Linked DNA regions of Saccharomyces cerevisiae S288C. The gene in region 3 interacts genetically with the main gene of each other region. Each region holds a gene or a part of one and is shown on either strand. Other genes may lie near its edges.

What was found.
Region 1: mutations in ERV25 (region 3) and GLO3 together harm fitness more than expected from each alone (negative genetic interaction), as found in Saccharomyces cerevisiae (3 studies listed by BioGRID, with this or other methods).
Region 2: mutations in ERV25 (region 3) and ERD1 together harm fitness more than expected from each alone (negative genetic interaction), as found in Saccharomyces cerevisiae (4 studies listed by BioGRID).
Region 4: mutations in ERV25 (region 3) and SLY1 together harm fitness more than expected from each alone (negative genetic interaction), as found in Saccharomyces cerevisiae (3 studies listed by BioGRID).

What each region holds. Positions count from the first base shown.
Region 1 is NC_001137.3:399,460-407,687, forward strand, and holds GLO3 (ADP-ribosylation factor GTPase-activating protein), read right to left. Parts: upstream 4,894-8,228; coding exon 3,412-4,893; downstream 1-3,411. Other genes in the region: AVT6 (aspartate/glutamate transporter), read right to left, coding at 37-1,383; phosphatidylinositol-binding protein SCS2, read left to right, coding at 1,676-2,410; YER121W (uncharacterized protein), read left to right, coding at 2,916-3,260; casein kinase YCK3, read left to right, coding at 5,354-6,928; DSE1 (Dse1p), read right to left, coding at 7,883-8,228. UniProt on the Saccharomyces cerevisiae protein: GTPase-activating protein for the ADP ribosylation factor (ARF) family. Involved in retrograde vesicular transport from the Golgi to the endoplasmic reticulum.
Region 2 is NC_001136.10:1,293,070-1,300,904, reverse strand, and holds ERD1 (Erd1p), read left to right. Parts: upstream 1-4,218; coding exon 4,219-5,307; downstream 5,308-7,835. Other genes in the region: mRNA splicing protein SYF1, read right to left, coding at 1-2,473; YDR415C (putative aminopeptidase), read left to right, coding at 2,744-3,868; rRNA-processing protein RRP17, read right to left, coding at 5,505-6,212; DFM1 (Dfm1p), read left to right, coding at 6,511-7,536; STE14 (protein-S-isoprenylcysteine carboxyl O-methyltransferase), read left to right, coding at 7,814-7,835. UniProt on the Saccharomyces cerevisiae protein: Required for the retention of luminal endoplasmic reticulum proteins, affects glycoprotein processing in the Golgi apparatus.
Region 3 is NC_001145.3:244,490-250,880, forward strand, and holds ERV25 (Erv25p), read left to right. Parts: upstream 1-1,626; coding exon 1,627-2,262; downstream 2,263-6,391. Other genes in the region: UBX2 (Ubx2p), read left to right, coding at 1-1,414; RAD33 (Rad33p), read right to left, coding at 2,406-2,939; transcription elongation factor SPT5, read left to right, coding at 3,188-6,379.
Region 4 is NC_001136.10:834,081-842,983, forward strand, and holds SLY1 (syntaxin-binding protein), read left to right. Parts: upstream 1-4,311; coding exon 4,312-6,312; downstream 6,313-8,903. Other genes in the region: SND1 (Snd1p), read right to left, coding at 1-1,412; chaperonin-containing T-complex subunit CCT6, read left to right, coding at 2,341-3,981; RVB1 (RuvB family ATP-dependent DNA helicase pontin), read right to left, coding at 6,524-7,915; NAD-dependent histone deacetylase HST4, read left to right, coding at 8,257-8,903. UniProt on the Saccharomyces cerevisiae protein: Able to suppress the functional loss of YPT1. SLY1 is essential for cell viability. May interact indirectly, or directly with YPT1.

The DNA.
Region 1 (8,228 bases), on a different chromosome or scaffold from region 3:
GAATAGCAAAAAAAGAATGAGTATACTCTTGCTTATTTAGTTTAGCTTCAAAGCTGCGGTCAGGCAGGTGATCATGATTATTAGCCCCCAGATAAACAAGAGAAGACCTGTGTATTTGAAAATCTTTGTCGTCAATGGCACGGCTGTCTTGTGCTCAGTTCCTATAAGCTTGTAGCCAAAGAGCCCGGGCAGAATGAAAGAAATAGAAGTGGAGCCTGTGGCCCCAACAATGGCCAGTACACGGGCCAAGGAGGAAACCGAAATGGCGACAAGATATGATGCAACTAAAATGCTGCACGTTATAACAATAAAGCTCTTGCCTCTCAATGGAGTCTCCTTAGGCTGATAAATAGATTCTTCTTCAATTACCTCATTGAGGTCAAGGCTACTGTCGCGAATCAACGGAGAACTTTCGGTAGCAACAGTGGGTTCATCCGCCGATGTAGCACTTATACTTACATTTTCCTCGGCGAAGTGTTGCAAAATCTGATGGATTGAAGCTCTTGCAGGATGACACTGTAGTGGGAACGCCAGCATCACCAACAACACAATCGCTATTCTGCCGATGGTGCTCGAGACCGCTTGCGGGTACAGCATGATAATGTTTCCAATGATGTTGTCGCCGAATGTCAGGTATCCAGCACAGCCGATCGCAATATATAAGATGAGAGCCAAAGATATTGCTATCAGTGGAATCTTCATCACATGCTCGAACCGGCTTGACCTCTGCTCATTGATTATTGAAAACATATTGTGGTGACATGTGTAGGCAAAGACAAAAATTGGAAGAGTGTTTAGCACGTTCAAATCATGCGATTGTGGTGGCAGGAGGTAGGAGATCCGGCCTTTCAAGCGAAGAATCTCATCTGATGGTGCTACATAGTGCAACAACACCAAAACACACAAGTACGCTACAGAAGAGATGGCCACCATGGAAGCGTACCTCAACGAATTCAACTTCTTCAGAAAAGACAGCGGGGCCACGAAAAAAAGCATGATCAGTGAAATTTGCACGTTCCTGTTCAACAGCCAAGCATTTCTGGTCCACACAGACATTATTTGGGGCATCAGATCCCCAACTACAATCATATAAGAGACGCCCACACCAAAACACTTGATAGCGATCGCTAGGTCAAACACAATACCTAGATTTGGGTTAATCAACCGCGTCAGAGCACTGAACGAGGCCCTCCCCTGTGGTACGTATTTAGCTACACGAGCTTGTATGAACAAGCTTTGCATAGCGCACGCCCCACACAGCACTATCATTATCACTCCAGGAATTAATCCAAACGGCTTGAATGCGTACGGCATGGCCAGGATACCAGCACCGCACGCCGTGTGTAAAAGTGTCAGCACACCTGATCTAATACTAGCTACCATATGATGCACGATTCCTTTCTATGGTTATTGAGCTGTGAAACTAACCCGTCGTTCGACCATTGTTGTTCTATATACTTCTAGTTGCTGTATAGATAAGCTCTCCGATCCCCTAAACGTGCGTGGTGATCTTACTCTTTCGCCCTCGCTTTTTTTTTTTCGCTTGTTGTTTTCGCAAGGTGAATAGAATGGTTTTAGTAGCAAAGTGCATTGTTTATTGTGTGGTGTGGTTTGACGCACATTCTGTGTTAATAGTGTAGCAGAAGGGTATTCTACAATCTCCGCGAACCTAAGTATGTCTGCTGTTGAAATTTCCCCTGACGTGTTGGTGTATAAGTCTCCATTAACGGAGCAATCGACAGAATACGCTAGTATTTCCAACAATTCAGACCAAACCATTGCATTTAAGGTCAAGACCACAGCCCCAAAGTTTTACTGCGTGAGACCAAACGCCGCAGTTGTTGCTCCAGGTGAAACAATCCAGGTTCAAGTTATCTTCCTGGGTTTGACTGAAGAGCCTGCCGCAGACTTTAAGTGCCGTGACAAGTTCCTGGTTATCACGTTGCCTTCTCCTTACGACCTCAATGGCAAGGCTGTTGCAGATGTTTGGTCCGACTTGGAGGCTGAGTTCAAGCAACAGGCTATCTCTAAAAAGATAAAAGTCAAATATTTGATAAGTCCAGATGTACACCCAGCACAGAACCAAAATATACAGGAAAACAAGGAAACTGTTGAACCAGTAGTCCAAGACAGTGAGCCAAAGGAAGTGCCTGCTGTGGTAAACGAAAAGGAGGTCCCTGCTGAACCGGAAACTCAACCTCCCGTCCAAGTAAAGAAAGAAGAGGTCCCACCTGTCGTTCAGAAAACCGTTCCTCATGAAAATGAGAAGCAAACGTCCAACAGCACTCCGGCCCCACAGAACCAGATAAAGGAAGCCGCAACCGTACCTGCAGAAAATGAATCATCCAGCATGGGTATATTCATATTGGTTGCACTCCTTATCTTGGTTTTAGGATGGTTCTACAGATAATAGGGAGATTGAGGATATAGCTGTATTCTAAATATATATTTATATATGTGTGTGTTTTGCCCTTTCCTTCCTTTCAGTCTTTATTTTACTTTGTTTTTCTACAATCTTTTTTTATTGTTTCCTTCTGTAGCCTTTACAATACTAGAACAAGGAACTAAAAGATCATACTTTCCTAACTTTTTTATATGTTTTATTTTTTAAATAGGAGAATAATCGATAACTATACCACTGTTGTAACATATTACTTGTTTAATTTATTCATGTTCGGTTTCCCTAGTGTAGTAGGCGCTATCTTGGGCAAATAACTATCCGTTATTAACCATAACAATGCGGGGTCTACTAAATGAGGGGAGGGTCTTGGATGCACATTAACGAAGATCTTGCGAGGGGGTCGCGCCTAAAAGGTCCATAAATAAATGAATACATAAACAGCCACCTACTTTCAGTTTGTTTTTTGCTAGGTCTCATAGTGAACGAGGGACTCACATATTGACAATATAGTAACATGGGCTTATCGCGCTGGCACGACAAGAATTCAAGGCCAGCAGAGGAAAAGAGCGAAGAAATGCAACAGGATGCGCACTACTACGCCCTTGCGGCAAGTGATAGTTTAAATGCAAGTGTTTCTAACGAATATGGTAATCAAGTAATGAACTCGTTTTGGAAAGTGGGTATAGACTCTCCCTATGTGGACGATGAAGCAATTAGAAACAGAGATGTCGAAAATAACTTACCTTCTTTAAAGCAAAGTGTTTATAATGCTAATGAACCAAATGCTACCTCGTCTGCATTTTCAACCGCTTCATACGCACATGAAACTTTCGATTTTAGAAACCTTAAACTAAGATAAGGGGGGATGAAGAATAAGAATAAACGCACGTACAATGCATATACAACCGTTTCTATGTACCATAAATATAATTATCATATAATGAAAAATGAGAATAAAAAACAATGATAACAATGAAAAAAAAAAAATTCAATTAAAGAGAAAATTAAACTTATTTTCTTAAGTAGTCCCTTAAATAACTACCGAGTTTTTCAGCACCCTGTTCTACAACGTCTCTCAACATCTGCAATTCATCATCTGCGGAGGCATTAAAATCGATGAAACCGTTATTAGAATTACGGCCATCAAAATTCCCTGCTCCACTTCCACTACTATTGATGGGATTACCAAATTCATCCACTTCTTTATCTTCTCCAAAGTATGAAGAAGAGGAAATTGATGTAGCATTGTCAAATGTTTTCAACTTGTCATGCGCTTCCCTGTTTGCTGCTTCATCAAATGAGCCACGACCAAATAATTGATCAGATGATATAGCTTTTTGTGTGCCGTACCTTTCCGCGATTCTGCCCGTATATCTTGGTCCCTGAGCTATTTTCTGAGATTCTTTTTGTTGCTTTGCCAAATCATTGGCGTCATTCATGGTCATACCAAATCCCAATTTGGCAAACTTGGGTGTTAAAGTATCTTGCTGTTCTTTTCTAGTTGTGTCGAAGCTGTTTGAAGTGTCATTTAAAAAATCATTGAATTCATCAGGCTGGGTATTAATATCATCTATACTGTTATTATTGTTGCCTTTACTGTTATTCATAAATTGGGAATCGTAATCATTTTGTCTAATTTTGGTGCTAGAAGACGAATTAGTGAACTCGTCCTCCTTTTCTTGTTGAGCCTCTTTTTTAAATTGATCAAACAAGTCTTCTGCCTGTGATTTGTCGACTTTCTTTGCGGTTAGTCTAGTGGGCTTTCTTGACGAAGACAAAATTGAATGTTTCTTTTTATCTTGCGAGTTTAATACCGGTTTCTTTCTGCTAGCCGTTAAGATGGAACTTCTCGTTTTAGTGACAGTGGTCTTGGGTGTGCTGCCTGTGGTGTTGTTTTTTGGGGCGAGAGAGCCTGTATTTACATTGAGTTTAGAACTGGAATTGGAGCTTGGTTTTTGCCAATTAGAGAAAAAATCGTCAACACTATTTTCTTTGGAAGTCGACCTGGAAGCGTCTGAATCGGTGTCCAACGGTGAGTCCGAAGAATCTTGACCGTTCAAGACTAATTCTGATGGGTATAACTCCATATCCTTTTGAACCTTCTTGTCGAGATGTATCTTATATTTCTTAGCAACAGGGCTCGTATATTTTGTTTTCGCGTCAACATTTGCTGTATTTAGTAGCTGTTTCCCATTGTTCTTTAAGAAAAAATCACGAGCCTTATGGTTCCCACCCAACTTAAACCTTCTTAAATTGTTAATTGTCCATTTATCTAATGTAGAAGACTTTACAAAGGTGATATGAACACCCATGTTTCTATGCACAGCAGAGCATTGAATACACAGCATCACACCAAAAGGTACCGAAGTCCAAGTAGGATTCTTGTTACCACAATCAAAACAAACTCGATTTTCCATGTTGCTACCTAGCTTCTGAAAAACTTGTTGAGTAGTCTGTTCCGTGGCAAATGTTTCTCCTTCATCGTTACTCATTGTCGCTATGTGTATACTAAATTGCTCAAGAAGACCGGATCAACAAGTACTTAACAAATACCCTTTCTTTGCTATCGCCTTGATCTCCTTTTATAAAATGCCAGCTAAATCGTGTTTACGAAGAATAGTTGTTTTCTTTTTTTTTTTTTTTTTTCGAAACTTTACCGTGTCGTCGAAAATGACCAAACGATGTTACTTTTCCTTTTGTGTCATAGATAATACCAATATTGAAAGTAAAATTTTAAACATTCTATAGGTGAATTGAAAAGGGCAGCTTAGAGAGTAACAGGGGAACAGCATTCGTAACATCTAGGTACTGGTATTATTTGCTGTTTTTTAAAAAAGAAGGAAATCCGTTTTGCAAGAATTGTCTGCTATTTAAGGGTATACGTGCTACGGTCCACTAATCAAAAGTGGTATCTCATTCTGAAGAAAAAGTGTAAAAGGACGATAAGGAAAGATGTCCCAACGATCTTCACAACACATTGTAGGTATTCATTATGCTGTAGGACCTAAGATTGGCGAAGGGTCTTTCGGAGTAATATTTGAGGGAGAGAACATTCTTCATTCTTGTCAAGCGCAGACCGGTAGCAAGAGGGACTCTAGTATAATAATGGCGAACGAGCCAGTCGCAATTAAATTCGAACCGCGACATTCGGACGCACCCCAGTTGCGTGACGAATTTAGAGCCTATAGGATATTGAATGGCTGCGTTGGAATTCCCCATGCTTATTATTTTGGTCAAGAAGGTATGCACAACATCTTGATTATCGATTTACTAGGGCCATCATTGGAAGATCTCTTTGAGTGGTGTGGTAGAAAATTTTCAGTGAAAACAACCTGTATGGTTGCCAAGCAAATGATTGATAGAGTTAGAGCAATTCATGATCACGACTTAATCTATCGCGATATTAAACCCGATAACTTTTTAATTTCTCAATATCAAAGAATTTCACCTGAAGGAAAAGTCATTAAATCATGTGCCTCCTCTTCTAATAATGATCCCAATTTAATATACATGGTTGACTTTGGTATGGCAAAACAATATAGAGATCCAAGAACGAAACAACATATACCATACCGTGAACGAAAATCATTGAGCGGTACCGCCAGATATATGTCTATTAATACTCATTTTGGAAGAGAACAGTCACGTAGGGATGATTTAGAATCGCTAGGTCACGTTTTTTTTTATTTCTTGAGGGGATCCTTGCCATGGCAAGGTTTGAAAGCACCAAACAACAAACTGAAGTATGAAAAGATTGGTATGACTAAACAGAAATTGAATCCTGATGATCTTTTATTGAATAATGCTATTCCTTATCAGTTTGCCACATATTTAAAATATGCACGTTCCTTGAAGTTCGACGAAGATCCGGATTATGACTATTTAATCTCGTTAATGGATGACGCTTTGAGATTAAACGACTTAAAGGATGATGGACACTATGACTGGATGGATTTGAATGGTGGTAAAGGCTGGAATATCAAGATTAATAGAAGAGCTAACTTGCATGGTTACGGAAATCCAAATCCAAGAGTCAATGGCAATACTGCAAGAAACAATGTGAATACGAATTCAAAGACACGAAATACAACGCCAGTTGCGACACCTAAGCAACAAGCTCAAAACAGTTATAACAAGGACAATTCGAAATCCAGAATTTCTTCGAACCCGCAGAGCTTTACTAAACAACAACACGTCTTGAAAAAAATCGAACCCAATAGTAAATATATTCCTGAAACACATTCAAATCTTCAACGGCCAATTAAAAGTCAAAGTCAAACGTACGACTCCATCAGTCATACACAAAATTCACCATTTGTACCATATTCAAGTTCTAAAGCTAACCCTAAAAGAAGTAATAATGAGCACAACTTACCAAACCACTACACAAACCTTGCAAATAAGAATATCAATTATCAAAGTCAACGAAATTACGAACAAGAAAATGATGCTTATTCTGATGACGAGAATGATACATTTTGTTCTAAAATATACAAATATTGTTGTTGCTGTTTTTGTTGCTGTTGATAAAGCGATTTTTATACTTTTCTCTTTTTCCTTTTTTTTTTTGATTGGCTGTTTCCTTATGCCGCTCTTTCCCAATTTATGACTTTCCAATAATGTATTATTTTGTTTCTCTTTCTCTCTGTTACCCTTTATTTTATCATCTACAATAATTGAATTCCGGAGAGGGTAAAGAAACAGGAAAAAGAAGAAAATGAGACATAGTCAGCATCGTAATCGTTTTCCTTCTGTATATTCCTTTATCAAAAGACTACACGCACATATATATTAATCCCGGTATGTTTTTGGTGTGCTAAATCTATCTTCAAGCACTATTATAGCATTTTTTTAAGAATATCCAAAATAATATGTAATTTATGATTAATCAAGGTTCAAGAATTGGAGAAACCGTGAGCGACTTCTTTGATACTTGGATGTAAGCTTTTATTTAGTTGCTTTTTCGTTTTCTTTTATTTACGCCCTTGTTTTGCGTGTATACTTTACTTTTCTAATTCACTTGAGAGCGGGACTATATATAAAAAAATGCACAATTACAAACTTGAGAATGAATGCATATCGTGAAGATTTTGATATTAAATTAAGAAGCCAAAAAAACGTAGGCAACCATAACAAATTTCGGCATTGAACTTGATTCTAAATGCTACATACAATTACGCGCGCTGTTTTGATATACACACACATATATATATATATACATTGTGTAAGAAAAATTCAAAGCTTAGTAAAACATACAGATCATGGAGAAAAAAAAAAAACCGAATACTTGTGTTACCAGAAGGATCCACTGACTGGACTTGGGTCACAATTTGAATTTTATTGATTTTCACCTTCATCAAGGAGGATGGTCGTTAGTAATAAAGGGCATTCTGAGTGACAGACAAAGAAATTATCTTCAAAGAAATGTTACTTTGATTCATTGATATGTTATTTGTTTTTATTTGAAAGCACTCAAGGAAACTAGACAACAGTAGTATCAATAGTAGATCCACTTAAATGCACATCATTTACAGAATACATCCTCTTTGTGAAGACGATATCCTCTTGGTCATCATTCAATCTACCTTCGCTAACAGTATTTGCTGAAGAACAATCCCAATTACCAGAATTTGAGAACATATCATCAGATGTTTCTGTCATACTATGGTCACTCTCATTGGATAATGATAACATAGAAGAATCAGATATTCCACTCTTCCCAGTACCATTACCATCGATTATTTTACCGGTATCGACATTGAATTGAACTTGACAAATTTGATGTAATCCCAGTTCACAAAAATTGTCAAGAGTTACTAAACTTCCA
Region 2 (7,835 bases), on a different chromosome or scaffold from region 3:
TGTTACCTTCCTCATGGCTAACGCTAGCTGAATCAATGAGCATGTTGGATTCCAACACCTTCTTCATCTTCAACATGTCTTTGTAAGTTTCCTTATCCCCATGTTTTAACTCAAAAATTTCAAAGCTATCCCATAATTCAGTATTTCTGGATGGAGGAAGAAGCTTTGCACCATAGGCAAGGATTTCACGTGCTCGAATAGTTTCTCCTATAGAGCTCTCGAAATCTGAAAATTTAATCACAAACTCAACAGCTTTAGAGTTTGGTAAAATTTGAATGCATTCTTGGTACAACTCTCTGGTTACTGATGGTCCCAAAGTAGACTCGGCCTTGGAAATACACATTCTCCACAGTTGCAGTCTACTTTCGAGGTGCGTGCTCACACTAACAGTACCTATTACAGCACCTCTACGTAATATCTCAATACTCTTGCTAATCAGACCACTTATCCTTTCTTCAAATACGCTATAAGCGATAAAAATTGTTTTACAGTCTATACCATTTGAACATAGATTCTTAAGTGCTTTCTCAAACAAAAATCTAATATGTTCAGGACTCAGTGATGACAATTGATGTGATGTCGCTACTTCTAGATACTCAATCCATAATTCGTATTGGATTTCGGGGGGAAACAGAGGGATTGTTTTCTCATACACCTGAAAACTTTCCATGACTTCGTAATGATTTTGTAAGAACAATGCAAAATTTTCTGCCATTGCTGGAGTGATCAATCTCAAATCAATAACAGTATTGTATGCCATTTTTGTCTTATTGAATATTTTATCGGAGGAATTTGCATCCTTTGGGCAGTAAGCCTCTAGATAATCAATGTATTTGGACCAAATACGTAATGAGTTGAATAGAACAGTTTGAGCAGGTATTTTTCTGTGTCCATTCTTATATTTTTCGAGGAGAATTTCTGGATTTGTTGGCACATGTAATGCATCTTCAAGGATAGAAAAAGCTCTTTCCACCCCTTCTTTATCTAATTCTCTATCAGCCCAGTTTAGGTAAATTTCTTCCAGATCTTCTATATAAGGATACGGTACCTTCAGAGATTGTGTCCACAATTCTCTAGCTGTACTAATTGCGTTTGATCTCCAATACAAATCCCCATACGAACACCAAAGCCTACCGAAAGAGCCAGGCGTACCAACTTTTCGGGGATCAATTTTCAGTATAGCTTCTGAATACACATTACACTTTTCCGCTGCTGACTTCTGCAAGGACACTCTTTTCATCCACGTTTCCACCAAGTTGGAATCTTGCCTTAGTGCGACATCGTTCAAATAGATATCATATAAGTTGATTAAAGATTCAAATGTCGCCATATGAGCTTGTAACTTTTCAGTCCAATCTTTTTGATTAAAGAATTTGCTGTCATTTTCCTTTAGCTTTCCCAGAATAAATTGGGAGCACTCTTGCTCAAATAGCAAATAGAAATTATAGATGCGATCAAAATCACTGTACCTAAGTGTTTGCTGTAAACTTTTCTTCAATAAATCACCACAACTGTCAAGCCTCCCGCGAGAGATATAATATTTGGCAAGTGATAGGATCAAAAAAAGCCATTTGTCGGGATATATGCCATTCATTTGCCTCATGAACTCCTCATATTGATTATCTAAACCTAGTTTTTCTAGGCTGGCCAAATAATTGAAATTTAATTCAAAAGGCAGTTCTGAACTAGGTAGATACTTCCCACTATTTTCATCTTGTGGCAAATACTTTTCATATACTGATTTGATGGTAATATTGTCTCTAGTTAATGCAAGAGTTGCCAGCGATTCATTTCGTTTTTGCTGAGGAGCCACTTTTAAGTATCTTTCTAAAATATGTGACGACCAAATATCACCTCTACTTCCGTTTTCACTAATTTCCTCGCTAATAAAACCTCCCTTCGTGAAACCCTTCACTAAAAGTACATTTATCAATTCAGCTTCATCAGTACTTTCTTCTTCATCTTCTTGAGTTGAATCCAGTTGCGTTAATGGTAAAACTTTTTCTTCCACAAATTTTATGACAGGATCCCAAACTTTCCGATGCATTTCTCTCTCCATTTTCATTAAAGATGAAGCTAAGGCATGCCTTATCATTGCCAAGTCATATTGTTCAATTGCCAATTCTAAATAAGACAAACATATCCTGTCACAATCTCGTACACAGCTTTTCAGGCACCTTTGAAAAAGCCAGAAAATACGTGAAGTTTCGACTACTTCCTTTGTTGATTCCCAGCGTATATAATCTTCCCATATACTTGTATCTGTTACAAATTGTGAACAAAATCTTTCATATAGCCACCTAATCTGTTTGTCAGTTCTTCCCTCCTCTTTCCAATACTCGATATATCTTTTCCATGTAAGTATGTTCTGCGGTGTCTTTTGTATTTCGTACTCAAAAGCCACATCTTCATCATTTCTTATGTTCTCATCGACGTTTGTTATTACTCCTTTCATTGCGATGTATGCTGACATAGGATATATGGACACAATAAGTTTTGCGGTACTGAAGGATAGTTGAGTCCAATATGGAGGCCTGATTATTTCCTTTTTTTCTATCTATTTCCTTTTGTATTATTTTGACTGAAAAGCTTGCCAGCGTCTTTACTAAAATCTTTCATATGTTCGGACCGCTATAGTAAACTGAAACTTGATATTCAATAATTATCAATCTTCGAAGCTAAAGAAATACAAAATCTTTATTCGAAAAAGTAAGTAACATAATCAACCGCTGATTAGCACAATATGAGGATACAGTCGCTTTTTGTTTTATTTAATGTTGCCATCATCGCATGGTCATATCCATATGAGCCTTTAAGGGTTTTACAAGTAGGAGAGAATGAGGTAATGGAGGTTCCCGAATCAGAAAAGCTAAACTTACGAAGAAGAGGTGTCAAATTCTTTGATGTGACCAAACACACTTCTTTCTTACCTTTCTTTAACAAGGAGGAAGAGCCAACAGTACCAACGTATAACTATCCTCCTGAGATATCGAACAAAGAAGTAGTGGATGATTCGATTAAGAATATAGACAAGGGCTCTATGCACAAGAACTTGGCAAAGTTTACAAGTTTTTACACCCGTTACTACAAGTCCGATCACGGCTTTGAATCTGCCGAGTGGTTAGCTGCAACTATCGCTAATATTACAAAAGATATTCCGCAAGATACGTTGACTATTGAACATTTTGATCACAAAGAATGGAAGCAATATTCAATTATAGTCCGTGTCACGGGATCTACTACGCCAGAAGATATTATAATAATTGGTTCTCATCAAGATTCTATCAATCTGCTACTGCCATCCATAATGGCAGCTCCAGGTGCGGACGACAATGGGTCAGGCACGGTGACTAATATGGAGGCTCTCAGATTATATACGGAAAATTTTTTGAAGAGAGGATTTAGACCTAACAACACTGTGGAATTTCACTTTTATTCCGCCGAAGAGGGGGGATTGTTGGGTTCTCTTGATGTTTTTACAGCTTATGCCAAACAGAAAAAGCATGTGAGAGCGATGCTTCAGCAAGACATGACGGGATATGTTTCTGATCCAGAAGATGAACATGTGGGGATTGTCACCGACTACACTACTCCCGCATTAACTGATTTTATAAAACTAATTATCAACTCTTATCTATCCATTCCTTACAGGGATACACAATGTGGCTATGCTTGTAGCGATCATGGGAGTGCCACCAGAAACGGATTTCCAGGCTCCTTCGTGATTGAAAGTGAGTTCAAAAAGACTAACAAGTATATTCACAGCACCATGGATACTTTGGACAGATTAAGTCTCGCTCATATGGCGGAACACACAAAAATTGTATTAGGGGTAATCATTGAACTCGGGTCATGGTCCGCTTGGTAAAAGTCAGTAATATGCATACATAACTAATGATGCCTTACCTTGGTGTTCTTTTGTAATATACCTAAACCGATATCACGCTAGTATTTATTTCCCGAATTTTTTTGGCGTATTTCGTCATCTGAAAATAACATAATCAATGAAAGAAATAGAGTCAGTTGCAAAAAGTGCAAGCCAGCGCTAACCGCTCCCGATTTAGTCGCAATATTGATGGCAAACAGTACCAAAAACTGGTTACCCATATAAATTGTTTGGCATTGTTATTATTGTTATAAATTATTATTGTTATTATTATAAATTATTATTAGTATTATACAAAGTTTTCAATTCTGCAACAAGTTGGGCCGCAAAATATGGAGAAAAGCGAAAGTAATTCTGAAGGACTTTATCTCCAAAATATATTAAATGTTCCCCCTCCGCAGCGATTTATTGTGCTCATAATACTTGCCCTTTGGATCTGGACATGGATATTAAAATTCTTCTTGCATAGTAATTTAGACGTATCCCAAGTCATACTCACGAGAGTACCGCACGATATACGTCCAGGTTATACTCTACAGCAATTGCATAGAACAGCTAGAAATTTTGCTTTGAAGATAACAAGGATTATTATACCGTTCCACTTTGCCACTGTGTTCCTTTTTGAGTTCATGAATATTATAGAAGGTCCACTCAAAAATATCATTCTCATCGTATATTTTCTACCATTGATCCAATGTGTCACTATATTTTGGTTTCTGTTGAAAGAGTGCCAGATAATAAAATATTGTACTAGGAGATGTTTGTTGATAGAATCCTCCCCCCGTTCCTTAAGGAATACCTACATTTTAATCTCTGACACGTTGACATCGTTTGCAAAACCATTGATAGACTTCACATTGTTTACCTCTCTAATTTTTAGAGAACCCTTCACACATTTTGATCTATCCGTAGCCCTTCTTCCTGTACTGGTAAGACTACTGCAGTGTTTGAGAGAATACCGTTTACTGCACGAAGCAACTTTACTATTCAATGCATTGAAATACAGTTGTAATCTTCCCATTCTTTTTTGCACCTGGAGATCAAGAGTGTATGAGGGATCCATCAACGAAGAAAGACTACACCACGTTCAAAGATGGTTTATGCTAATTAATTCTTCCTATACGTTATTTTGGGATGTAAGGATGGATTGGTCATTGGACTCGTTAACCTCTTTAAGATCCAGATCCAAAAGTGCCGTCACATTAAAGAAAAAAATGTATCATTCGGCGATTCTCGTTGACTTTTTGCTGAGGTTCTGGTGGCTATGGGTATATTTATCGCAGAATCTGAAATTAGTTGCCGCAGATAGCGACTACATTTTTTTCCAAGGCGAAATGCAGTATTTCGAAGTAATTAGAAGAGGCATATGGGTCGTTTTCAAATTGGACGCAGAGTATTATATTAAGTTTGCAAGCAAATAATTTGTTGGGCAAGCCATATAAAATCATGCAAATGCTGTAAATATTTGTTCTATTTTCCCCGTAGAATGGTTTATTCGATATATTACATATAATAAACGAAAAATACATATGCACAGTATATACTTTTCCAAAAAAAAATCAAACACTGTTTGAGCGTCAAGAAACCCCAGGCGGTGCCCGACGATAATGCGACTGCATTATCTCCTACGCTTGTTGTCGTTTGCCTTTCTTTGGTTTATTCTTCGTTCATTTTTGGTCAAATATCTGAACTTTTTTACTCTTGGCTTCTTCTTTTGTTTCTCATCCACGCCCAGAAACTTCGCGTATTTGGTGGCTCTATTTATGCTTTGTTTGAGTACTTTTTCTGCCTTTTCTAATTTGACATTATTTAGCTGGGCTAAATATTCAAAGTTATCATTGGGTTCCAATGTCTCCAATTCAACAGTAGTTGAGTCATCGTATATTTCCGTGATTGCTCCTTTCTTCAAAATAGGCTTTACGCTACTTTCATTATTGTCGTTATCGCCGTCATCTTTATCAGAATCAAACCCGTGCCAGGATTCATCAGATTCTACCTGCAAATCCTCCGTCTTATCATTTTTCGCATCCTCTATCTCAGCTTCCAAGTTTAAACTCTCTTTAAACGTCTTTAACTGTTCTTCCATCACCTCCTTACGTTCCTGCCGAATCTTCTGTCTTTCTTCAATTTTTCTAAGCCTTTCCTGCTCCTTAATAAACTCTTGTGCTTTCTTTTGTCTTTGAAGCTTTCTCTTGTGAAAGCCAGTCAGATAATCCAAACGAGAATCCTTGTCGAACGTCACCTCATCGGTACCGAATTTCTTTGATTGCTTTGTAGCATAGTTTTTGCCTCTTGTAAGGATTTGCCTATTGGTGTGAACAGCCATAGCAAAAATCGAAAACCTTTAATTCACCCCTCTTGATTCGAGCAGCTACCAGGAACTTGAATATTGCAACTCTCTATTTTTTATCTGCTATTATCTGCTGCTTTGCAGAATCGATCCTCATCACATTTGAAAAATTTCAAATGTGAAAAGTCCCTACTTACCCGTTCGCGGCTCATGAAATCGTGTCCTCTTCAATATAAGACAAGAGTATCAAACAAAGGATATAAGGCAAAATACAACAAATTACCAGTGAATTCCGCATTTCCAAGTCAAATCAAAAACTATTTTCGAGGAAATAATGGCAGGCCCAAGGAATGTGCGTACATTACATGGAAATGGAGGCCGTAATAATGATGTGATGGGCCCAAAAGAATTCTGGTTAAATATCCCCCCAATAACAAGAACTTTATTTACTCTAGCGATCGTTATGACGATCGTCGGCCGGTTGAATCTAATCAATCCGTGGTACTTTATTTATGTTTGGAATTTGACGTTCAAGAAGGTTCAGATATGGAGACTTCTTACTTCTTGTGTAATGCTTTCGTCTCGTGCCATGCCTGCGCTAATGGAACTATATAGTATTTATGACAGGTCCTCACAGTTGGAGCGAGGGCATTTTGGTCCCGGTTTGTCCAATAGACGAGGACCGATGGTAACAGTAGACTATGCCTACTACCTGTGCTTTTGTATACTAGCCATCACTACGGCCACTACAATCATTTATGGGTCCTACTACCCTGTTGTGCTCACCTCTGGGTTCATATCATGCATTACATATACTTGGTCGATCGACAATGCCAACGTGCAGATCATGTTTTATGGTTTGATTCCTGTTTGGGGGAAGTACTTCCCCTTAATTCAATTGTTTATCTCTTTCGTTTTTAATGAGGGTGATTTCGTAATCTCATTGATCGGTTTTACTACAGGGTACCTTTATACATGCTTAGATACCCATACACTGGGGCCAATATGGGGGATGATATCCAGAAAAGCTGATCCAACCTACGGAATCTCGCCCAATGGGAAATTCTCAACGCCATGGTGGTTTACTAGTCTATATGCTCGCATAACGGGTGCCCACAATGAAACTGCAACATTCAACAACAACTTTGCCAATGTGCCATCTTCGCAAAGAGAAACGAGAACTTTTAGTGGAAGAGGTCAACGATTGGGTACGGCCCCTGCAACATTGTCTCAAACCAGTGGCACAGATTCAGGCAGAGCTTCTGGAAGTCAATTAAGAAGTGGCCCATCGAATTTGAACCAATTTCAAGGCCGCGGCCAACGAGTAGGACAAACAAACAGCCCCTCCGACTCACAATAACAACTTTTATCTATTTCTATGTACTTTGCCATTCATTATATACATCAAGAGAGTCTGACATAGTATTTTCGTTGGCATAGCAACCGATTGATAATGAAACATCACTCAAGACGAATTGACAAATGGGCCACTATGGTAAAACAATTCTTTACATGATACCACCAGTATATAGAAAGGTTCTCGTGTTGATGAATTATATAAGAAAGTGAAAATCGATTTCAAGATAATTACTCTTTTTACCTCCTCTTTCATTGTGGTCACCGTTTTTGAACACAACATGCACCAAGATTTTCAAGAAG
Region 3 (6,391 bases):
AATTGGGCTAAATGGACGCTCTAACACTGTGTGGTCCATGTTTGAATCTTTTAGTTATGATGGTAACCCCTTTCTTTTTATTTTACTGTTGATCCCTCGGATAATCAATAGGTTATCTGCCACAATATTCACGTTCTTTTGCACTCTATTGTCCCTGCATTCGATAAGTGGTGGCGGTAATTCAGGAAAACCCAAGATCTCCAAGGTTCCAAAGGCACCAACCAGAGAAACCCATATCCCACTTGCAGAAATACTGGGTGACACGAAGGACAAGGATGCATTTTGCGAACTAAAAAGCTTTAAACCAGACATTTCCTTCAATGAGGCCTTGCGTATTGCAAAAGAAGAGTTTAAGTTTATGTTGCTCATCCTAGTGGGCGACACCTACGATACCGATACTGATACCGTAGATGTTAATTCTAAACTACTATTGGAAAAGATTTTGTTAAACAAGAAGACTTTACAGTACTTGCGCAAGATTGATAACGACCTGATTATCTATTTGAAATGCGTACACGAGTTGGAACCTTGGCTGGTTGCTCGCCAACTAGGTGTCAGAAACACCCCGGAGATATTCCTCATTGCCAACGTGGCTAATAAGGCTTCCCATTCAGAAACTTTGCCCTCACAAAGACTCTCCATTCTCGGCAAGCTAAAGGTCAATTCACTGAACAGATTCTTGCAGTCGTTAACAAACGTGGTGGAAAAGTACACTCCAGAATTAGTTGTTAATAAAACTGAAATGCACGAGCTACGCATGTCAAGAGAAATAAAAAAACTGCAGGAGGATGCGTACAAAAAGTCGCTAGAAATGGACAGAATCAAAGCTATAGAAAAGGAAAAGAGCTTGAAACACGCTCAGGATTTGAAATTAAACTCAACTGCTCGGCAATTAAAATGGTTAAAGGCTTGCATCGATGAGATACAGCCGTTCGAGACAACGGGGAAGCAAGCTACTCTGCAATTTAGGACTTCTAGTGGCAAAAGATTCGTCAAGAAGTTCCCCTCCATGACTACACTTTACCAAATCTACCAATCCATTGGGTGTCACATATACCTCGCGGTATATTCTAGTGACCCCGCAGAATGGTCTAACGCCCTCCAGGACAAAATCAGGCAATTATCTGCAGACGACGATATGCTCTGCTTTAAAGAAGGACAACTCGAAACTGCTACTGCTACCACTATCGAAGAGCTCGGCCACATCATCAACAACGAGCTTACCTCATTTGATCTCGAACGTGGTAAACTTGAATTCGACTTTGAATTGGTATCGCCCTTCCCTAAGTATACTGTGCATCCTAACGAGCACATGTCGGTGGACCAAGTGCCCCAGCTATGGCCAAATGGCAGTCTTCTAGTGGAAGCACTGGATGAAGAAGATGAAGAAGATGAGGAAAATGAAGAACAATGATAAAATAGCATATCGTTAAAAACGACAAACGCGTACAAAGAGTTTCTGGAGTTTACTTTTTTTTCATTTTTCGTTTTTACTCTTTCGTCTCCCTAATGATTTTGGCCAACCGTTGGTTGTTACGTGTTATATGTTTGTTTTAGGAGCTGGGGCCTACCTTTATAGTTAGTTGTATAACTCAGTTGATCTCATAAGTGAAAAGCAAAAAAAGGATGCAGGTGTTACAGTTATGGTTGACAACTTTGATCTCTTTGGTGGTGGCAGTGCAGGGATTACATTTCGACATTGCAGCATCTACAGATCCAGAACAGGTTTGTATTCGTGATTTTGTCACTGAAGGTCAATTGGTTGTCGCGGATATTCACTCAGATGGTTCTGTTGGTGATGGACAGAAACTAAACCTCTTCGTGCGTGATTCAGTTGGAAACGAGTATCGTAGAAAGAGGGACTTTGCAGGCGACGTTCGTGTTGCGTTTACTGCTCCATCCTCCACGGCATTCGACGTTTGTTTTGAAAATCAGGCTCAGTATCGTGGCCGTTCTTTAAGCAGGGCCATTGAATTGGACATTGAGAGTGGTGCTGAAGCTCGTGACTGGAACAAGATCAGTGCCAACGAAAAATTGAAACCTATAGAAGTGGAGTTGCGTAGAGTGGAGGAAATTACCGACGAAATTGTCGACGAATTGACTTACTTGAAAAACAGAGAGGAGAGATTAAGAGACACCAATGAATCTACCAACAGAAGGGTAAGAAATTTCTCAATTTTGGTTATTATTGTCTTGTCCTCGCTGGGTGTTTGGCAAGTCAACTATTTGAAGAACTACTTCAAAACGAAACATATCATTTAAGCAAAGGAAGAGGACCACACCATGCATTTGTGTATCAGCTTACCCTATAATTGCATATGTACTCGACTATTTTCTACATATATATGAATAGATTCCAGAACCGAATAAAGGAGAAAAAATATTTGAATATGGATTTGTTCGCTTCACATCTTTAAGTAACCTAGTTTTCCCAATACGCAACCAAAGTCCAAGTATGTCATGAAAAGCCTCTTGCCATCAGTAGCACAACTAATCATTTCAATGGTCCCAGAACTTTGGTCAGCCCCGATGAGATTGGAGATTTTTTGAAGGTCTTTTACGCTTAATACATGATCTCTTAAGGCCACTTGCGGGAAATCCACGTCTCTGCCACAGTTTCTAATAAGCATCGACCATAAATCATCTATTACTGTTAAATTATTCATCAGTATCAGTAACTGGCATGTGCATCGTACCAGTTTCGTGAAATCTATTACGTCAGTTCCTTCTATAATGACGTCTTCATTTCTCACCAGTTTCCAAATTGTGGGCTCTAGTTGCAAATCCTTGAAGAACCTTGGTAGTTCATTAACGGTCATATCATGGTCCAGACTGGATTCCGCATATTTTTCCAGAATTTCATCTTCAACTTCGATAGGTACTTTCGGGTTCTCGAATAGCTCTACTCTTTCATAACTAACGTTAGTGGATTTGCTCATTGAAAAAAAACTCGGAAGGTATTTAGGTGACCTTGCGGCTTCTTAATGCTGACACCTGCATGCGTAATTGTTATTATATATATATATGATAGTATATTTCATACTTGTTCCTTCTAAAGGTGACCCGCCTGATATGCGACATAGAAAAAAATTTGGATGAACATGTTCAAAGATTGGTAGCATTGACAAGAACCATTCATACAAGTAGGTAACAGCAGAAGGAAAGAGGAACGGGTGTTGTGATAATTATGAGTGACAACTCGGACACAAACGTGAGCATGCAGGACCATGATCAACAATTTGCTGATCCCGTAGTGGTTCCGCAGTCAACTGACACTAAAGATGAAAATACTAGTGACAAAGATACTGTTGATAGTGGCAATGTGACCACAACGGAAAGTACAGAACGTGCAGAAAGTACAAGCAATATTCCCCCTTTAGATGGGGAAGAAAAAGAAGCAAAATCTGAGCCACAGCAACCTGAGGATAATGCAGAAACGGCGGCCACAGAGCAGGTTTCATCTAGTAACGGGCCTGCTACAGATGATGCCCAAGCAACTTTGAATACGGATTCATCCGAAGCAAATGAAATTGTCAAGAAGGAAGAGGGCTCTGATGAAAGGAAGAGACCTCGCGAAGAGGACACCAAAAACAGTGATGGTGATACCAAAGATGAGGGCGATAACAAAGATGAAGACGATGATGAAGACGACGATGACGATGATGATGATGAGGACGATGACGATGAAGCCCCAACTAAAAGGCGTCGTCAGGAGAGGAACAGATTCTTGGATATTGAAGCTGAGGTTAGTGATGATGAAGATGAAGATGAAGATGAAGAGGATTCAGAGTTGGTTCGTGAAGGTTTCATTACCCATGGTGATGATGAAGATGACGAAGCAAGTGCTCCAGGCGCAAGAAGAGACGATAGATTACATAGACAACTGGACCAAGATTTGAACAAGACTTCAGAAGAAGACGCTCAAAGGTTAGCGAAAGAATTAAGGGAGCGTTACGGTAGAAGCAGCTCCAAGCAATACCGTGCTGCTGCTCAAGATGGTTACGTGCCCCAGAGGTTTCTCCTACCAAGTGTTGATACAGCTACCATTTGGGGTGTGCGCTGCAGACCAGGTAAAGAAAAGGAATTGATTCGTAAGTTATTAAAAAAAAAATTCAATTTGGATAGGGCGATGGGTAAGAAAAAACTGAAAATTTTATCCATTTTCCAAAGGGATAATTACACAGGAAGAATCTATATCGAAGCCCCTAAGCAATCCGTTATTGAAAAATTTTGTAATGGTGTTCCAGATATTTATATTTCTCAAAAATTGCTAATTCCTGTCCAAGAATTACCTCTATTACTAAAACCAAACAAATCTGATGATGTTGCTTTGGAAGAAGGTAGCTACGTTCGTATTAAGAGAGGGATCTATAAGGGTGACTTAGCTATGGTCGACCAAATTAGTGAGAATAATTTAGAAGTTATGCTGAAAATTGTTCCTCGTCTGGATTATGGTAAATTCGACGAAATTGATCCAACAACACAGCAACGTAAATCCAGAAGACCAACTTTTGCTCATAGAGCACCACCGCAATTATTTAATCCAACAATGGCTCTAAGATTAGACCAAGCTAACCTGTACAAAAGGGATGATCGCCACTTTACTTATAAGAATGAAGATTATATCGATGGTTATCTGTATAAGTCCTTCAGAATTCAACATGTGGAAACCAAAAATATTCAGCCAACTGTGGAGGAATTGGCAAGATTCGGTTCCAAAGAGGGCGCGGTAGATCTAACATCAGTTTCACAATCAATCAAGAAGGCTCAAGCTGCAAAGGTCACTTTCCAGCCAGGTGATCGTATCGAAGTTCTAAATGGTGAACAACGTGGTTCCAAGGGTATTGTAACAAGAACCACGAAAGATATTGCTACTATCAAACTAAATGGCTTTACAACGCCTCTAGAATTTCCTATCTCTACTCTGAGGAAAATTTTCGAACCTGGTGATCACGTTACTGTCATCAATGGTGAACATCAAGGTGATGCTGGTTTAGTTCTTATGGTAGAGCAAGGTCAAGTGACATTTATGTCAACTCAAACAAGCAGAGAAGTTACCATTACAGCAAATAATCTGTCCAAATCCATCGACACTACAGCTACATCAAGTGAATATGCGCTACATGACATAGTCGAATTGAGTGCTAAAAATGTTGCTTGTATTATTCAAGCTGGCCACGATATCTTCAAGGTTATTGATGAAACTGGTAAAGTGTCGACAATTACGAAGGGGTCTATCTTGAGTAAAATAAATACTGCTCGTGCACGCGTTTCTAGTGTCGATGCAAATGGTAATGAAATCAAAATTGGTGATACCATAGTAGAGAAAGTAGGTTCACGCAGAGAAGGTCAGGTCCTGTACATACAAACACAACAAATTTTTGTTGTTTCAAAGAAGATTGTTGAAAATGCAGGGGTTTTTGTTGTTAACCCTAGTAACGTTGAGGCCGTGGCATCCAAGGACAATATGTTAAGTAACAAAATGGATCTAAGTAAAATGAATCCAGAAATCATTTCTAAAATGGGACCTCCATCATCTAAGACATTCCAACAACCCATCCAGTCCAGAGGAGGTCGTGAAGTTGCACTCGGCAAAACAGTAAGAATTCGTTCTGCTGGTTACAAGGGTCAATTAGGTATTGTGAAAGATGTGAATGGTGATAAAGCTACTGTCGAATTACACTCGAAGAACAAACACATTACAATTGACAAGCATAAGTTAACATATTACAACCGTGAGGGAGGTGAAGGTATCACGTATGATGAATTGGTTAATAGACGTGGTAGAGTTCCACAGGCCAGAATGGGCCCAAGTTACGTCAGTGCCCCAAGAAACATGGCCACTGGCGGTATTGCAGCAGGTGCTGCGGCTACCTCTTCTGGTCTTAGCGGTGGTATGACACCAGGATGGAGCTCCTTCGATGGTGGCAAAACACCAGCTGTAAATGCGCATGGAGGCTCAGGTGGTGGCGGTGTCTCCTCATGGGGTGGTGCTTCCACTTGGGGTGGCCAAGGTAATGGAGGTGCATCCGCTTGGGGCGGTGCTGGCGGCGGTGCCTCAGCTTGGGGCGGCCAAGGTACTGGTGCTACTTCTACTTGGGGTGGTGCTTCAGCCTGGGGTAACAAATCAAGTTGGGGCGGTGCATCCACTTGGGCGTCGGGTGGTGAATCTAATGGTGCCATGTCTACTTGGGGTGGTACCGGTGATAGGTCAGCCTACGGCGGGGCTTCCACCTGGGGAGGAAATAACAATAATAAAAGTACAAGAGATGGCGGAGCTTCTGCATGGGGTAACCAAGACGATGGAAATAGGTCTGCTTGGAACAACCAAGGAAATAAGTCAAACTATGGTGGTAACAGTACATGGGGAGGTCATTAATCACCAAAAGGA
Region 4 (8,903 bases), on a different chromosome or scaffold from region 3:
TCGTAATTAAAGCCATATTCATCTGCGTATGAGGTTCTATCCTGCTCTTGTTCCCCTCGTTCTTTTGTATAATCGTCATAATTATTATTGTTGTACAGGACAATTTCCTCATTCTTAGCACGGTCTTGCACTTCGTTGATTTGGTTGTTTAACTCGTCATATACTAGTTCGTCGTTTGATGGTGTCTTTCCGTAGGGGAAGGGAGAAGGCGATCTGGACATATTAGAACTAGAATAGGATTGTGAACGGGAATGTGGATGCAGATGCGATTGTAAATGCAGTGCAGTTCCCGAAGGCTGCTTGCGTAGGTTGGATTCCTGACCAATAAGATTGTTGATTGACGTTGATGGGATAGTTGTGATGGATTCGTTCGTTTTGAACATATGTGCCCTGTTGGATTTTCTGTTGATAGACAACGACCTAATTCTGACGGACTTGTCTTTATTGGAGGTTAAAACCGAGTTTTGAAAATTCAACAACGACGAAGAGTTTCTTTTCAAACTTGTGTTGCTCTGGTCGTCGCCCTTATCTTCGTTAACAGCATCTGAATATTCATGTAGCGCTTTTATTGATTCCTGGGAGATAAGGCTGGTGAGAGGGTGGTCTGACAACAAAGTCAGCAGTGCTTTTACCCCCGTGCTATTCGTGACAATAACTATGGAATCCAAGACAGTCTGGTCTTGCATGCTACCATTGCTCTGGTTTGAGCCGGTGAATTTCTCGTTCAACTTGGTGTAGTACTCTTTGAACGGGAGTGACTTGGAGTTCTGGATTGTCTTAGTGAAAGAACCAATATTCTGCCAATTAATGATTTTTAAATTAAGCAGTTCTGCGTTCAGGAAAGTAGAAAACCACTTGAGAGAGGTGGGAGAAACGTTGATCTGGAAACATAGGTTTAGTTTCTTTTGAACATACAAGTCTTTGAAAGAATTAAACAATTTTTCAACCAAAAATCTTATGGTCTCCACGTAACGTAAAGACCCCGAAGACGACACCAGTACATTCAGATCAAACTTGTTTTCCGGTGTGCTGCGAGAGCTGATCAGACTTTTCAACTCCTCCCAAAACTTATCGTTATCTTCCGCAGTAGATGTGTTGGAAAAACTTTGCGCGATCGAATTTCTAAGCCGATGCAGCTTAAACCGTTTATTCAGTCTGGAAAGCTTGTTATGAGTCATCTCATCGTTGTAGTAGTCGATCGTAGGGATATCTATGTAAAGTAGGATGTTAAGCTTCTTTAGCGAAGGGTACCGGTCCGCCAAAGACGCTTGTACCACTGTCTGCTGCATGTTGGAGTAAGTGATCAGAAACAGCGAGTCCTGTGACTTCACACTAACTTTTGGTGAAGTGGACTGGGCAAAGCGACGCTCATTAATGCTCGCGGCTGCTGCGTCCGTACCGACAGTGTCCATCGTAGTGTAGGCTTCCCAAAATTTAGGATGTGATTAGTAATAGTGGTTGATTGCGAGCTCCGGGATGCGAGGGAGAGCGTGTATGTGTACTTCAAGTTCGCCAACTTCTCTCTTAAATAGAAAAAGAAAAGAAGAAAAAGGAAACGAAAAAAAAAAAAAGTAGGGAAAAGCTGAGTGATGAAGATCCGGGCTGCCAAGATTGGGTTTGAAACGTGTAGTCAGCTACAAACCAAAAATTAAAAGAACAATAGCAAAGAACCTTAGTAGGAAAACAATAAAATAATAGACACGACACCCGTAGAAAGATAGAACGGGACGAGGGGCCGGTTCAACAACTATCATACTTTCTTGTTCAACAACGCGATTAACCCAAATAATAAAAAAGCTACGAGACAAGAACAGACGAGGCAATACGAGCAACGAGCGCAACGAGAACGGTAAGCATGGCAACGGCGCGCACACCCACGCCCCGCAACCGCACACCTCAGCTCAAAGTAACCCACTTTAACGTGACTGGACCTGAGCTGTCTGACTCGGTCGTTTGCAAATAGGTTAACGCCGTCGCTTCTCCCTTTCGTGTACCGTATATCTTTCTTTAATTGCATTCCCTTGTTGTGATTATCGTTTCCCATTGCAGTGAGCTTTCATTTTGGGGACCCTGGGAGTAGGCTGTTTTTCGATAGAGTGAGAGGTGTGGGTTCTGCGGCAGAATGGATACGGGCCGTGGATCACTGTTTACGGGAGTTTTGCTTTGGTGGCAAAATTTTCGCTCGGTGATGTGTTAGTAGTTGTTATTCTGGTAAGAAACGAACGAAAGACGGAAAGGATTATGTATAACAGTGTATGTGTGCAGTGTGTGGAAAAGGTAAAGGTTAAGGGTGTGGAAGCAGTGAGAAGCAGAAGATTATAATATAAGTAGAGTAGAAGCATGTCATTGCAATTGTTGAATCCGAAGGCTGAATCGTTGAGAAGGGATGCGGCTTTGAAGGTTAACGTCACATCTGCTGAGGGCTTACAATCCGTCCTAGAGACCAACTTGGGCCCTAAGGGCACGCTAAAGATGCTTGTGGATGGTGCTGGTAACATCAAGCTGACCAAGGACGGTAAAGTGTTGCTGACCGAGATGCAGATCCAGTCGCCTACAGCGGTACTGATTGCTAGGGCAGCTGCCGCGCAGGATGAAATCACGGGCGATGGGACCACGACGGTTGTGTGTCTTGTGGGTGAATTGCTTAGACAAGCGCACCGTTTCATTCAAGAGGGCGTGCATCCGCGGATCATCACTGATGGGTTTGAGATTGCGCGGAAGGAGTCCATGAAATTTTTGGACGAATTCAAGATCAGTAAGACGAACCTTTCCAATGATAGAGAGTTCCTTCTGCAAGTGGCCCGGTCGTCGCTGCTAACCAAGGTGGACGCTGACTTGACGGAGGTCTTGACGCCCATTGTAACGGATGCGGTGCTAAGCGTGTACGACGCGCAGGCTGACAATTTGGATTTACACATGGTTGAGATCATGCAGATGCAGCACTTGTCTCCTAAAGATACCACTTTTATTAAGGGTTTGGTATTGGACCACGGTGGTAGGCATCCTGACATGCCCACCCGTGTGAAGAACGCGTATGTTTTGATTTTGAACGTATCTTTGGAATACGAGAAGACTGAAGTTAACTCTGGGTTCTTTTACAGTTCTGCGGACCAAAGGGACAAGTTGGCCGCTAGTGAGAGGAAGTTTGTGGATGCCAAGTTGAAGAAGATCATCGACTTGAAAAACGAAGTTTGTGGCATGGATCCAGACAAGGGTTTTGTTATCATTAACCAAAAAGGCATTGACCCCATGTCTTTAGACGTGTTTGCCAAACACAACATCTTGGCTTTGAGAAGGGCCAAGAGACGTAACATGGAAAGATTGCAATTGGTCACTGGCGGTGAAGCTCAGAACTCTGTGGAAGACTTGTCGCCTCAGATTCTTGGGTTTTCTGGCTTGGTCTACCAAGAAACCATAGGCGAGGAAAAATTCACATACGTTACAGAGAACACTGACCCCAAGTCTTGCACCATCTTAATCAAGGGCTCCACTCATTATGCCCTCGCTCAAACAAAGGATGCGGTGAGAGATGGTCTCAGAGCTGTGGCAAACGTTCTCAAGGACAAAAACATCATTCCAGGCGCTGGTGCGTTCTACATCGCCCTTTCGAGATACCTAAGATCTGCCAACATGAACAAGTTGGGTGCCAAGGGTAAAACAAAGACAGGTATTGAGGCGTTCGCAGAAGCATTGCTGGTAATTCCAAAGACTTTGGTGAAGAACTCAGGATTCGACCCATTGGACGTGCTCGCAATGGTGGAGGACGAGTTGGATGACGCTCAGGATTCTGACGAAACGAGATATGTTGGTGTGGACTTGAACATAGGTGATTCTTGCGACCCTACCATCGAGGGTATTTGGGATTCCTACCGCGTACTAAGAAATGCTATTACCGGTGCTACAGGTATTGCCAGCAACTTGTTATTATGCGATGAATTGTTAAGGGCAGGTAGATCCACTTTGAAAGAAACACCACAGTAATAAAAAATAATAATAATAATAATAATAACAAGAACACGAATACTAGTAGTAATAGTAGTCAGATACAAAAATTCTATGTAACATATTTTTTCCAGTCACTATCATCATCATCATATTTTGTATATATACATTTATTATATAAAATATCATACCAATTTTTGCCAAAGAACACCGTTTCCCTCTTCGCGTTGACCACAGTAATTGCAGAAACGACAAAAAAAAAACAAAAAAAAGAAGCACCATTCTAACTCAGCCTTTAATAACCTGACATGATAACTTATAATAGTCATTGCCAGTTGCTAAGTATCTTTGACCAAAAATCACAACATCATGGCTGTGGAGGAAATTGCGTCCCGCAAGGACATTAGTTTAAGAGATATGCAAATCTCTGCCATATTAAAAATGCTGTTTTTAAATAAGGATTTGAACAACAACGACAACATCACCACCATCACAGACGATATTTTTAACCAGCAGGAGATCATCTGGAAGGTGTTGATACTGGACATCAAGAGCACTGCTACCATATCTTCTGTTCTCAGAGTCAATGACCTGCTGAAAGCTGGTATCACCGTTCATTCCTTGATTAAACAAGACAGATCTCCCTTGCCAGATGTCCCTGCCATATATTTCGTCTCCCCCACAAAGGAAAACATTGACATTATAGTCAATGACTTGAAAAGCGACAAGTATTCTGAATTTTACATCAACTTTACCTCATCTCTGCCCAGAAACCTCCTGGAAGATTTGGCTCAACAAGTCTCCATCACGGGTAAATCTGATAAAATCAAACAAGTTTACGACCAATACCTGGACTTCATTGTAACTGAACCGGAACTGTTCTCACTAGAAATTTCAAACGCATACTTGACATTGAATGACCCGAAAACCACAGAAGAGGAAATCACGGGCTTATGCGCCAACATCGCGGACGGTTTATTCAACACTGTCTTAACGATCAATTCTATCCCCATTATAAGAGCAGCTAAGGGTGGGCCTGCTGAGATCATCGCTGAGAAACTGGGTACAAAATTACGTGATTTCGTCATCAATACCAATTCCTCCTCCACTTCCACTTTGCAGGGAAATGATTCTCTGGAAAGAGGAGTGTTGATTATTTTGGATAGAAACATAGATTTTGCCTCCATGTTTTCACATTCGTGGATTTATCAGTGCATGGTCTTTGATATTTTCAAATTATCAAGAAACACCGTTACTATTCCACTTGAAAGTAAGGAAAACGGAACTGACAATACCACCGCAAAACCATTAGCCACGAAAAAATATGATATAGAGCCAAACGATTTTTTTTGGATGGAAAACTCTCATTTGCCATTCCCAGAAGCTGCAGAGAACGTTGAAGCGGCATTGAATACGTACAAGGAGGAAGCCGCAGAAATTACTAGGAAAACTGGTGTTACCAACATATCAGATTTGGACCCAAACTCGAATAATGATACGGTTCAAATTCAGGAAGTCGTAAAGAAACTGCCAGAGTTAACAGCTAAGAAAAATACTATTGATACACATATGAATATTTTTGCTGCATTGTTGTCACAATTGGAAAGTAAAAGTCTTGATACTTTCTTTGAAGTTGAACAAGACCCTGGAAGCACCAAAACAAGATCTAGGTTTTTGGATATACTAAAAGATGGTAAGACAAACAATCTTGAGGACAAACTGAGATCGTTTATTGTTCTTTACTTGACATCAACGACAGGCTTACCAAAGGATTTTGTCCAAAATGTGGAAAACTATTTCAAGGAAAACGATTACGATATCAATGCTTTAAAATATGTTTATAAGCTAAGAGAGTTCATGCAATTATCAAATATGTCGTTACAAAATAAATCTTTGGAAGATGGATCCGATTCCGCTTTCAAACCAAGCAACTTAACATTATCCGGTATCTATGGCTTAACTGAAGGCAAATTACAAGGAGGTGTAGGAAGTTTAATATCAGGTATTAAGAAGTTACTGCCTGAAAAGAAAACCATCCCGATAACAAATGTTGTTGATGCGATAATGGACCCTTTAAACAGCTCTCAAAAAAATTTGGAGACTACTGACAGTTACCTATACATCGACCCAAAAATTACAAGGGGTTCCCATACCAGAAAGCCAAAAAGACAATCTTATAATAAGTCACTAGTGTTTGTAGTTGGTGGCGGTAACTACCTAGAATATCAAAACCTCCAAGAATGGGCACATTCCCAGTTGCATAATCCCAAAAAAGTCATGTATGGTAGCACAGCCATTACCACACCAGCTGAATTCTTAAATGAGATTTCTCGCCTTGGCGCAAGTAATAGCAGCAACAACGATGCATAATTGGCATCTAGCCCCAATGACGATACACTAATATATATATATATATATATATCTATATATCTGCAAGAAATAAGCGTGTGTAGTAAGTAAAAGGAAAAATAGAAATTTTTGCTCAAAAATAACGGTCCCATTTTGATACAATGTTTTTGGTTTAGTGATTTGCGTAATATTTATTTTTATTTATGAAATGTGCTTTAGGCTTTCTTCACTGTTACAAATAATTTGCGGAAGTTTCTAAAATCTTTGTTGACCTTTTGGCATCCAAAAACAGCAATTTGGCTTCATTAACGTCATTAACAACAATTTCCTTACGATTGCTTGTTTGTGCTAGGATACCACATGGTGCCAATAATTGTAAAGCGTAACGTAACGAAGTTTCTGTACCCATCGTGGCTAAAAGGTCCAATGCGCTACTTTCTACTTGCAATCTTTCAACGGTAGCTCTTCTCTCTATAATGGTACGGATCTCGTCCTTGTCATATGGTAATGTACGAACAATTAACAATCTATCGATCAAATCAGGTGGCACACCATGTGGTGATATCACATCCTCAGTGCCACGGACTGTAGTCATGCCCCTATTAGAAGCCAATACAACAACGGGGGCGATATTAGATTCAAGCGCTTTGTTCAAATACGTGAATATTTCAATGTCTAGCATATTAACTTCATCAATGAACAAAACACCTGGAATAAGTTCTGCGACACCTTGATCAATATATTTAGCAACAACTTTATTCACCTCTTGTCTTAATTTCTCGGTTATTTCAGTCTTCTTAGGTTTGAGCAACTGGCCCATCATTGATATGACATCTTGACCACCTTGTGGTCTTGCGTTTGCAACATCCAAATCGTGCAAGGTAACATCTTGTACAATTTCCTTTTTCTTATGCACTTCGCCTTTTGGCAATGGTACGTATTCCTCAGTTTCCAAATCAAATTCAGTAGCGTATGCATCAGATCTGCCAACTCGCTTAACTGCACCGGTGTTGGCCTCTATATAAATGACATCACCAATACTAACCTTTTCTCTTTGAATACTTTCATATATCGTTGGGTCTAATCTTAGTGTCTTGGTACCCTTGGCAGACTTGAGCCCGACAATTACATGTGAGATAGTTTTACCATATCCGCCCAACGGATTCTCTGCGTCTTCAGGGGTTAGTTCTGTCACTTCACCCTCATAAACTTCCTTAGTTTCTTTGATTCTTAACCCAATTGCTCTTCTAAAATTTTCCATTAGGGTTTCTGTTTTTTTGACCTCCACGGAATATAATTCGCTACCAACAAGAGGACAGAATGGAACTTTTGGGCCTAACTCTTGTGAAATGGCGAGAGCCAATGCTGTCTTACCTGTAGAAGGACCACCAGCTAATAGGATAGCTCTACCTGACATTTTTTTAGCCTTGATTAAATCTACAATTACACCGCACGCTTCACGAGCTTCTATTTGTCCAACAAACCCTCCTTCAACCCTCTTGGCCACACCACTTTCATCCAGACCTAAACCTTTAATATGTGTATGTGCCGCAGTTCTCGTAACTGCACCAGAATTACTGCTGTTTACGCCAGGATTTTCTTTGACTTCACTGATAGCGACCATATTTACTCAATTATTTTAACGTTCAAAATATTCAGGCCCAGAACTTAACAGCCTTCAATACGTACTCTTAAATGAATCCATCTCTTCTTCATCACCACGATGTATCTTTTGTTTTGCCATATTCTTCCTTGAACAAAATTGAAAAATTTTAAAAAACCTCTCCATTACCCGCAGAGCACGTGAGCAAAAAATCAATTACGTTTCCTAAAAGGGGAAAACAGCAACTTTAGTGACATGTTAGAATATTTAGCAAGCAAGGTTGTGGAAAAGCTTAGGAATTACATACTTTAGAGCAACAACTGTATTTTAAAACTGTAAATAATACTAAGCAGAACCACAAAATGAAGCAAAAATTTGTACTACCGATCACCCCACCAAGTACGGCGGAAAAGAAGCCTCAAACAGAAAACCGTTGCAATGAGAATTTGAAGCCTAGAAGATTGCTACCGCAATTGAAAAAAAGTGTCCGTAACAGGAAACCTAGACTGTCATATAGGCCTGAGTTAAACTCTGTGTTTGATCTGGATGCGTACGTGGATTCGACACACTTGTCCAAATCCCAACGCCATCATATGGACCGCGACGCCGGTTTTATTAGCTATGCTCTGAATTATAGCAAAAGAATGGTTGTAGTCAGCGGGGCAGGTATATCTGTTGCCGCTGGTATACCGGATTTTAGATCCAGTGAAGGGATTTTCTCTACTGTGAACGGCGGCTCTGGGAAAGATTTGTTTGACTACAATCGTGTGTATGGCGACGAATCAATGAGTTTGAAATTTAATCAGTTAATGGTGTCATTGTTCAGATTATCCAAGAATTGCCAACCTACAAAATTTCATGAAATGCTCAATGAGTTTGCTAGGGATGGCAGGCTATTGAGACTGTACACGCAGAATATTGACGGTTTAGATACACAATTACCTCATTTATCAACTAATGTGCCTCTGGCGAAGCCAATACCCAGTACAGTACAATTACACGGAAGCAT